Callithrix jacchus: one gene and its partners. The protein of the gene in region 2 interacts with the protein of the main gene of each other region in a pairwise test. Links are inferred from orthologs where the notes say so. Each region holds a gene or a part of one and is shown on either strand. Other genes may lie near its edges.

The links. The genes of interacting proteins can lie anywhere in the genome.
Region 1: the proteins of RAD23A (region 2) and MINDY3 interact in binary tests that used the Homo sapiens proteins (3 or more experiments, as listed by UniProt). The two-hybrid records come from large-scale screens. The link is inferred for Callithrix jacchus from reciprocal best matches to the Homo sapiens genes RAD23A and MINDY3.
Region 3: the proteins of RAD23A (region 2) and NGLY1 interact in binary tests that used the Homo sapiens proteins (3 or more experiments, as listed by UniProt). The two-hybrid records come from large-scale screens. The link is inferred for Callithrix jacchus from reciprocal best matches to the Homo sapiens genes RAD23A and NGLY1.

Annotation. Positions count from the first base shown.
Region 1 is NC_133508.1:16,717,202-16,720,953, forward strand, and holds the start of MINDY3 (ubiquitin carboxyl-terminal hydrolase MINDY-3), read right to left. Parts: upstream 2,787-3,752; 5' UTR 2,577-2,786; coding exon 2,483-2,576; intron 1-2,482. UniProt on the Homo sapiens protein: Hydrolase that can remove 'Lys-48'-linked conjugated ubiquitin from proteins.
Region 2 is NC_133523.1:11,774,211-11,777,065, forward strand, and holds the end of RAD23A (UV excision repair protein RAD23 homolog A), read left to right. Parts: intron 1-1,314; coding exon 1,315-1,479; intron 1,480-1,560; coding exon 1,561-1,674; 3' UTR 1,675-2,287; downstream 2,288-2,855. Other genes in the region: GADD45GIP1 (large ribosomal subunit protein mL64), read right to left, coding at 2,854-2,855. UniProt on the Homo sapiens protein: Multiubiquitin chain receptor involved in modulation of proteasomal degradation. Binds to 'Lys-48'-linked polyubiquitin chains in a length-dependent manner and with a lower affinity to 'Lys-63'-linked polyubiquitin chains.
Region 3 is NC_133518.1:64,165,114-64,168,865, forward strand, and holds the start of NGLY1 (peptide-N(4)-(N-acetyl-beta-glucosaminyl)asparagine amidase), read right to left. Parts: upstream 2,706-3,752; 5' UTR 2,685-2,705; coding exon 2,551-2,684; exon of another isoform or gene 1,890-2,550; coding exon of another isoform or gene 1,864-1,889; intron 1-1,863. UniProt on the Homo sapiens protein: Specifically deglycosylates the denatured form of N-linked glycoproteins in the cytoplasm and assists their proteasome-mediated degradation. Cleaves the beta-aspartyl-glucosamine (GlcNAc) of the glycan and the amide side chain of Asn, converting Asn to Asp.

The sequences.
Region 1 (3,752 bases), on a different chromosome or scaffold from region 2:
AAGAAGAAGAAAAAAAACCACATTTTAAAAAAAGAACAGGGATTTTGTAGAAGAGAATTATCTAAAAAAGCCAATTAAAAACAACTATGTGCCATTCCTGCAGCTTATTGTTTTAACAACCATATCAAACGAATTTAGCTTGATCAATCAGTATAATTCCACAGATGGGATATGTCTAGATGTAATTGTATAAACAGCCACGCCAAAGGTCTTACACCTGTATCTTGCTTTCAGAAGACTAATGAGACTGCGGTGTCAAATGAAGACACGGTTCAGACTATGAAATAAAGCCAGAGTTGATGTCACATTAGCAATGCAGCAAAGCAGTGTCTTGTGCCTATTCCCATAATCCCAAAGGACTGCTACAGCAGTATTTAGCAATGGCCTCAAAGAACAAATGAATACGACAGTTAACATACCAAAACCAATAACGGGACCCCTCTGATTCAGAGGTGATAACTTCAAAAACATGTTTGGTTGACTTAAAATCTTAATCAGGCTAAGACCCTGAAGAATTACATATCCAAAATATAACTGCACTCTGTAAATTAAAAAAAGAAAAAAGAAATCCTTTATTTTGAAATGGTATTGACAGAACTAATCTTAAGGAATGTCTGCGTGATTAAAGGTGGCAAAGCAATCTAATAAGTCATTATAAAGTGTTATTTAGAATGATTATCCATCAAATAAATCATTTATCGTAACTGTCAGGGAAAAGCCAAAGAGTGATTTTTGACTTAGTCTACAATTAAACACTTTTTAAAATAATATAAAAACAGCTACCACTTACTCAGTGTTTACTATATGTCAGATAGTGTGCTAAGTGCCTAAATTATTGACATGACCTTTAATCCTCACACTACTTTATAAGGTCTACTATCTACATGTTACAGAGAAGGAAAATGAGGCTTAAATAAGCTAAATCGAATGAACCTGAAGCTACGTACATTTATTCCAAAGACAGTGCTCTTAACCATGACTAGAACTGCCGCCCTGAATCTTCCTTGTATTTGCATGTCAGTATAAATAGGGCTGAATGTTATCTTATTCTACTTTGTAAATGTTTCATAAATGTTAACTGATTACAATGGAAATAATTTTTTGTTTAGTCTTTCACAGTTTTGTGTATTTTAGAGCTGTTTACTATTAGAATAAGTAGGTGGGAAGTTTTAAAGTAAAATCTGCCTCACAGGTGCCCAAGATTAGGTAACTGACATAATTGAATGTGAAAACAAGAACCAAAGTCATTACATGTAGGCTTTGGAAACTCAAAGGAAGATAATAAAAACAGATCTATTAGGAATTGAAAGACCTGGAATCCACTCCCGGTTCTATCAATTTGTGCAACTCTGGCCCAGCCATTTACAATTCATTTTTCTCATCTACAAAGCAAAAGCGAGGGACTACATATCCCAAGTTTTAATACGTCATAATTGTAATATAAGCTCTTAAAACATATATGGGATGGAGGGAGGGAGGGAGGGTGAGATTACTTAAATCCTGATTTTTTGTTACAAAATATATGTTTTTAAATAGGAATTTATATTTACTATGCCAAAATTCCCTCCAATCTATTTAGGGAACAGGTGTTCTCTAAGTAGATGTTTTGATAATAGTAGAGTTTTAGATACATAAATTACCGATCCTTCGGACTCAAGGCTATGTTCTTAATCTCATCATCTTTCCTAAGTCACCTTCAGGAATATGTCAGTTGTGTTTGCCTACCAAAACTTAAGAATGAGGGATAGTTACGCATATAAAGCGCCCAGCTTGTTACAGTGCAGGAATTCAATAAATGCTTGTTTTATGTCATTATTATTTGTACTGACTTATTACATAAGTAAAAATCCTGTCTGTGTTACATTAGACCAGCAGAGGAAGTACTACGATCCATATTCCTTTTTTAACCCTGACAGATAATAAACCAGATCAAAAAGGGGGATACTTTGGGCCAAAGGACACGTTTTAGCAGGCAACAGGGTTTACACACCAAGTACCGCGCCTGTCCACATAACGACAATACAAACAAAACACTGCTGTTTGGAATTAGCCACTCTGACTTTCCCGTGGACGTCCCTCCTTCCCTCCAAAAATAGACCATCCACCACCAACACACAGCTCTGTTGGGGTAAAGACGCGGAAGGCCACAGCACCCCTTGAGAAAGTGACATCGGGGCACGGTGCGCACGTTCCGTGTCACGCCAAGCAGCCCAGCAAGGGGCCACCCCTCTCCCCAGCCGAAGGGCAGCCCGGAGAGTGGAAGAGGCGCTGCGGGTATTTAGTGGCAGCTGTAGCCATTCTCCTACTCAACCTCTCCCAACCAAGGCAAGCAGGGCGTGTCTACAAAGTCCAGCTTGTGCGCCGAGCACGGCGACTGGGGCAAAGCGCGGGGCACGCGAGGGACTGGAGCGAGAGGCGTCACAGGCGGACTCTCGCAGGGCAAAGGAAGCGGCGGCTGCAAGTGAGAGCCCCGCCAGGGTACCTTGCGTCCAGCGGCAGAATATGGTGTCCGAGAGACCGGGGCTGCTCTTGGTGCCCCACACCAGCTCCATTAGCTCTTTAGTCAGTTCGGACATGATGGTGAACCGGCGGGCGGGTCTTCGTTTTGCGGACTCCTGCCCCGGCACATGGGGAAGGGGCAACTCCGGAGGCAGCAGCTGCGGGACGGCGGCGGCAAACGAGTTGGAAAGTGAGGCAGGAAGAAGGAAAAGGGGATGAGAGCTACTTGCAGGGACCGCGCCTGTCAAGCCAGGTTGGGGCAGCAGCGAGTTTCCTGTACCGGAAATGCTGGTTCCACTTCCGGCTCCTCTTTAATTCCCGCCCCTTAGAGGCAGCGGGCCCGGAAGTCCCCTCCCCGGAAGTAAAATTGGAGGCGGAAACAGCCACGAAAAGCGGTGGAAGTAGCCACTGGCCTTTCTGAGCCGTCTGGGATCCTTTGGTGGGGTGGTAGTTTTTGTGTTGGCGGGTGGGGGCGTCAGCGTGTTCCTAACCTCCAGGAATACCTCCTTCCTCTAGGCACTGCTCTGGGCTCAGGTGGAGGCTCTGAGGCCCAGGCCCTAGGGACTAGAACTTATGCCCATTGCTTTTAATTTACAGTATTAATTTTGCAACACTGAAACTATAAGGCAATGGTTGAGTCACAGTGCGGTAACATCCTTACCTTTGTAGGGTGCTTCTCATAAGCTGGAGGCTGTCCAACCTCTGTGCTTCAATAAAGACCAACTAGACCAACTAGTACTTAAAAACATGGCAAATAATTTGGCATAATGTGCATCAGAAATGCTTCTACCACGTGCAACACAGAATTACAAGGTATTTGTAGCGAAACAGATTGAAAGCAACCTGTTTGTAAATGTTACAGCATTTTCATCTCCAGTTTTTGAGGCTGCACAGTGTGTGGCCAACACCTGGACTAAAATTTAGTTTTTATTCACCAAACTAGCGGTTAAAATGAGTTCGTGTGAAAACTTCTATTTGTGCTGCTTTAAAAAAGAGGACTTGAAGGCTGGGGTGGTGGCTCACATCTGTAATTTCAGCACTTTGGGAGGCTGAGGCCAAAGGATTACTTGAGGTCAGGGGTTTCAGACCAGCCTGACCAACATGGAGATAATCCGTCTCTACTAAAAATACAAAATTAGGCAGGTGTGGTGGTGCATGCCTGTAACCCCACCTACTCGGGAGGCTGAGGCAGGAGACTTGCTTGAACCCAGAAGGAGGAGGTTGCAGTGAGCTTAGATGGTGCCATTGCACTC
Region 2 (2,855 bases):
AAAGAATAGAAACGAAAACAAACAAATGAACTTCCACATACCCAAATCCAACACGCAGATGAGTTCACAGTTTTTGGTTCGGGGGAGTGGAGTCGGGGAATAGAGACAGGGTCTATATTGCCCAGGCTGGTCTTGAACTCCTGGGCCCAAGCAGTTCCTCCTGCCTTTCCTCCCAAGTTGTTAGGGTTACAGGCATGAGCCACCACACCTGGCCAAGTTCACCTTTCTAAAAGATTCAGACCACATATTTTCCTGAATAACTGTCATCATCGTGGCTTCCCACTGCTCTGGAAAATGGGTCTGACTTGAGAAGACCAAAGGGTCTTCCGCTCTGGTCTTATTATCTGCCTCATCCGTCTTCCCTTCCGTGTTCACTCTGTTCTTGCTTCTGAGATTTCCAGATGCATCCCCCCTGGGCCTTTGCACTTGCTGTTTGCTTTACCTGGAGGAAACCCTCTGCATCCTCCATATTGCAGACCTCTCCAGTCCTCATCTGCATTTCCTTTCTAGCCAGGCACTTGTAGTCGTCTGGTTCATTTATTGGCTCATGTATTTATTTGTTTATATTTCTGAGAGTCTGCCACCCAGACTGGAGTGTGGCGGTGCAGTCTCAGCACCCTGCCACCTCCGCCTCCTGGATTCTCCTACCTTAGCCTTCTGAGTAGCTGGGACTACAGGCATGTGCCATCACACCCAGCTAATTTTTGTATTTTTAGCAGAGATGGGGTTTGCCATGTTGGCCAGGCTGGTCTCGAACTCCTGGCCTCAAGTGATCCGCCTGCCTGTGCCTCCCAAAGTGCTTGGATTACAGGCATGAACCATTGTGCCTGGCCTATTTCTTTATTTTGTTTATTTATTCAAGATAGTCTTGCTCTGTTGTCCAGGCTGGAGTGCAGTGGCTTACTGCAACCTCTGCCTCTTACGTTCAGTCTCACGCCTGAGCCTTCTGAGTAGCTGGGATTACAGGCGCCTGCCACCACACCTGGCTACTTTTCCTCTTTTTAGTAGAGATAAGGGTTCACCACGTTGGCCAGGCTGGTCTCGAACTCCTGATCTCAAGTGATACACCTGCCTCTGCCTCTCAAAGTGCTAGGGTTATAGGCATGAGTCAGTAGGCCTGGCCCATTTCTTGGCTCACTTAAAGCCCATGGTCAGCTCCACCAGAGCAGGGCTTACATTGTCTGTTGTGTTTGGCCAGAATAGACTCCTCTGGAGATTTGCCTGACTGAATGAAAAAGCAAGGGCTGTGAAGACCTGGGGAGAGGAGGGGGCAAGGGCTGTGAATTACCCTCCCTTCCCCACCCTCTCCTGCAGCAAATTAGCCGGCACCAGGAGCAGTTCATCCAGATGCTGAACGAACCCCCTGGGGAGCTGGCGGACATCTCAGATGTGGAGGCAGAGGTGGGTGCCATAGGAGAGGAGGCCCCGCAGATGAACTACATCCAGGTGACGCCGCAGGAGAAAGAAGCTATAGAGAGGGTAAGAGGTCTGGATATGGGGGAACTGCAGGTGGGCAGGACCCCTACCTTCTACTGCTCACACTTACCCATCTTCCCACAGTTGAAGGCCCTGGGGTTCCCAGAGAGCCTGGTTATCCAGGCCTATTTCGCGTGTGAAAAAAACGAAAACTTGGCTGCCAACTTCCTCTTGAGTCAGAACTTTGATGACGAGTGATGCCAGGAGGCCAGGCCACCAAACCCCCACTCTACCCCTACTCCATGAAAGTTTTATAAAAGAAAAAAATATATATATATATACATGTTTATTTAAGAAGTGGGAAAAAGAATCAAAAACCTTAAAAAAACACAACAGTGAGCAAAAAGCCCAGCTTCCCGTCCTCCTAAAGTGGCCCTTGTTCCCATCTTGCTCTGAGAAGACCCAGGCCAGACAGCTGTCCCCTCCTCCCCAGCCCAGCCTGCTCAGAGAAGCTGGCAGGACTGGGAGGTGACAGATGGGCCCCTCTTGGCCTCTGTCCCAGCTCCCTGCAACCAGATGGAAAGGCGGCTGCTTGCTTCTCCATCTTCAGAAGAATCCCTGAGGACCCCCCACCCCATCCTCTTCTAGGATGAGGGGAAGCTGGAGCCCCAAAATTTGATCCTCCATTGGAGCAGCCCAAATCTTTCCATCTGGAGTGAGCCCTGAAAGGTTCAAGGCCCCCTCCCCAGTCTGGCCTTGGCCTCCAGCCTAGAGAAGGGCTAACATAAGCTCAGTGTTAAGGCTACCCCCACCCCAGAATAGAACCGTGTCTCTAATAAAGGTTTTGAAGTGAATAAAGTTTAAAAAACCAGCCCTATGGTCCGTGCCTGCTGGGGCTCCCCACGCCCGCCTGTCTCAGTCTGGGGGCTGTCTGGGCACAGGCAGGCGTGGTGATGGGTGCCGGGAAGTGGGAGAGGAGTCTGTGAGTCCTTGCAGATTGGGGCTCCCAGTGTCTCCTCCCCCAGTGTGTCATTTCCAGGCAGTGGACCCCAGCCCAGCCTTACAAGGACTGCTTCTCCCTGGCCCCCACCATCACCACCACAGTCTGTTTTGGCTATACTTCTCCCCTCCCCCCCACCCCATAATTGGCTAATTACCGGAGAAGAATGTTGGTAAACAGAAGCCTTCTTCTCTTCTGCCATCTGCTTCTTTATTATTTGCCCATTGCACCCCCGCCTTTTCTCGTCCTGAAGCTTCAGTAAGCAGGGCCTACAATCCCTGTCCCCCTTTTGAGTAGAGCCAAGTTGGGGATTCCCCAGCCCAGCCCTAGGTGTTGTGGGAGGAACCAGGGGATCCAGAGAGGCACACTTTGAGGGGACACAGGTCTCTTCAGGGGGACTGCCAGGGAGCAGGCTTTTATTGGGAAAGGACAAAGGCTC
Region 3 (3,752 bases), on a different chromosome or scaffold from region 2:
GGGGAGCATCACACACTGGGATCCATTTCGGGGAGAACAGGGGAGGGACAATGGGAGGGAGGGTGGGGAGGCATAACGTGGGGAGAAATGTCAGGTATAGGTGATGCGGGGATGGAGGCAGCAAAGCTCGTTGCCATGAATGTACCTATGCAACAGCCTTGCATGATCTGCACACGTACCCCAGAATCTAAAGTACAATTAAAAAAAAATGCTACTGAAAAAAAAAAGAAATCTGAAGTTATGTTTTATCATTTTGTCTCCTCTCATTATAGTTCTACTCCATGTACTCAGTCATTGAGAACTGTCCATTCCTGCCTACAATACTTTTCTCCATTCCATTCGTGGATTTACAGTTATGATTACCCCTAATATTCATAATTGGAATCAATGCCTTGTGTCTTGTCCCATTATTACTCTACATGAAACTCTTCCATTATGCTTTTCTCTTTTTTTTTTTTAGAGACAGGGCCTTGCTTTGTCAAGCAGGCAGGCAGGCTGTGTTGTGAACATAACTCACGGTAGCCTAGAACTCCTGCACTCAAGAAATCCTCTAGCCTCAGCTTCTCTCAGCTGAGACTATTACGTGTGTGCCACCATGCCCAACTAATCATTATGCTTCTCTTTGACTCTAGAAACTCAAGTTGCTTTCTTTTGCCTATCACTATTACCTAAGACAAACTTAAAAGAGCAGTTTTTCATACAATATCCAATGATAATAGTTCCAAATTCCTAATTCCCTTTTAAGATAAAAACTCTTTAAAAATCAGAAACATGGCTGAGTGTGGTGGCTTATACCAGTAATCACTGCACTTTGGAAGGCCAAGGTGGGTGGATCACCTGAGGTCAGGAGTTTGAGACCAGCCTGGCCAACATGATGAAACTCTGTCTCTACTAAAAATATAAAAATTAGCTGGGTGGCACATGCCTGTAATACCAGCTGCTTAGGAGGCTGAGGCAGGAGAATCTCTTGAACCAAGGAGGCAGAGGTTGCAGTGAGCCGAGATCACCCCACTGCACTCCAGCCTGGGCAACAAGAGCAAAACTCCGTCTCAAAATAAAAAAAAAAATCGGAAATATAAGCCATTAGTAAAGACTATAACATTAACTGACAGCATGCCAAGTTTCTTTTAGGAGTTTAGTAAACATTCATAATGAAGATTATGATGCTAAATGTCATTATTTGCATGCAGCGGTTGCCTTTCTCAAACTAACAATCTCAGCATCTTCGGTTTCACTGGATTTAATGCGGAAGTGAGTCTTCATGACAAGGCCACCTCTCTTTTCTGAATAGAGGGGTTTAAATAGCTTGATGGCTTTCCAGGTGGTAAGTGTCAGCTAAAAGGTGGTCCCCACAAAGGTCACAATTACACAGCTGTGAATAGGCGACATGCTGCATCCTTCATAGCATCTGCCACAAAATAAAGGCTCAATATTTTCCCTTAAATTTGCTTTAAAAATCATTACCATTACCTAAATGAACATATTACCGACATGAATTTTAAAAACTGCACGTGTAACCAATGTCTAAAAATTGGGTCACATGAAACCTATAACCTTGAAACTGAGAATTTCCTCAGACTTCATGACAATATACCAACCACTTAATGTATACCAGGGGCTGAGGGGAACAGAGAACCTAATTAATCACGGTGACCTGATAAATGAGGTCACACCACTAAAGCAAGTGGTGCTCCTTCAGCCTCAGTTCCATTTCCCTCCCCCCACATCATGCTCCTCCTTAAGACACATCATTTGATTGAAGAGTTGAGGTGGGTATTCATTTAGAATTAATAATTAAACCTGCCTCCCAGTTCCCCAAATCTACAAGGTCCCTTAGACCTCCAGAAGCGCAATTTTGCTCACAGGAGAATGAAGCACATTACTCTCATCCAAGGCGACTACCTCCACGCATTTTGAAAGGGTTATGTAGAATCCACGTATTAAAATAAAAACCGTAACTTCAAAGTACTACAGTTAATGTTTCAATCAACAAAAGTGGGCGGAGGAAAACATTAAAAATGTAAAAACCCACCACTGCAGAAGCGTTATGCTTTAGTAGTAGGATAGTCTCAGCATAGGAAGAAAATACCACCTTGTCAGCGACTAACTTCTGATAAGCATGTGGAAATGCAAGCCAGTCCGCTCGAAAAAATGCACGCAAGGGGAATGACACGCGGTTACCGCTTGTGCCCTGACAGCCGAGGCCGTGAAACGACGAGAAGAGCGGCAGTGTCTGAATCACGCCTTCCAACCTCTCCGCCCCGCCCCGCCCCGCTTCCGGGGCTCCAGTTCACCCGCGGCACCCAGACTGCAGGTGCCAAGTCACAACTGCAAAGAAACTTCCTCTTCTCGAGCGGGGATGGGACCTGGCCGGGTCCCGAGGCCCCCGGCCGGTGGGCTCAGACGTTAGGAGCAGAACCCGTTCCAGGTCCCGGTCTGTCCGCGCGTCGGTGCCCTCCGGGGCTCGGGCAGACGCACCCAGTTCCTGACCGACCAGGCGCCGCGGCCCACCTGCCCCGGTACCCGCCGTCGGACCCCGTTGCCCTGCACCTGAGGATGTTGTCAGCATAGGTGAGCAGCAGCTTGGAGGCCTCCAGAAAGGTCTCCGGAGTGTTCTGGCAGAGCTCGGCCACGGCTGGGGACGCCGAGCCTGAGGAGCTGCCCAACGCCGCCGCCGCCGCCATGCTTGAGCGCCAGCGGCCGTCGCCGCCCCTCGCGCTCGCGTCCTACACTGAGCAGGCGCCTCAGCGCGCGGCAACTACCGCAGCCACCGGGAGGGGCGGGGTCCTTGGCCGGCAAGGGCGGGGCCTGGGCCTGGAGCAGGGGAGCTCGGCGGGGTGCAGCGGCGGCCCCTTGGGGAGGGGCGAGGGGCTGTTCAGAAGGGGTAGGGGCCTTGGGCGGCAGGGGCGGGGGGCTTCGGCCCGAGGTTGGGGAGGGGTTCCGCAAGGAGGGGCGGGGCCTGGGCGCAGGGACTGAGGGGCGTGGGTCGGGAGGAGGGTGTTTTCTAGTCCTCAGGACTAAAGAGCTCGGCTGGGCGGGAGGCAGGCTTCTGTCTAAAGACACCGGGCGAATGGTCCCGGCACGTTCCTCTCAGAAACCCGAATCCCTCTGCGCCCTGGGCCAGCCGAACTGATCCAGCCACTAAAGCGGAGAAACCGCATGTACCTCCCTCCTTTCCCCACAAGTAAAACGACCTTAGAATCATGTCCTTCGCTGGTTGTCAGGCCGTTCTACACAGACGTGGATGAAAGATCCCAGAAGAAAGGAGCAACAGACGTCAACAACAAAATCATGGCTATAAATGGCTGAGTTTGTTACATTAATTCTTTTCAGAATTTTGAGAATGACTGAAAATCAAAGTCCCAGCTCAGCTAGTATATGATTCCTCTGTAAAGAAGTGTATTTTTAAACCATAGGTTGCAACATAATAATGGGTTGTGGATTCGGTTTACACCGTAGTGACCAGCGTAAAACACATGCATAGTAGAATGTCGAGGGCGGGGAGGGAAGAGAATAAAAATTTGCATCCCACACAGTGAGGGTAACTATTATTTTGTGACTTGTTTTTTAGGTAGATCCTAGGTCTTTTATTCCTCTTAGAAGATGCATCTCTAATTACTTTAATCCAGTCTCTGCTCCACCATGTCCTTGAAAGTGTGCTTTACCACTGGCTTCCTGCTTTGCAGAAATTCCTTCTCAACCTCAACAGTAATTTTTCTTGAACTTATTTCTTAAGATAAGTGATTTGCCCC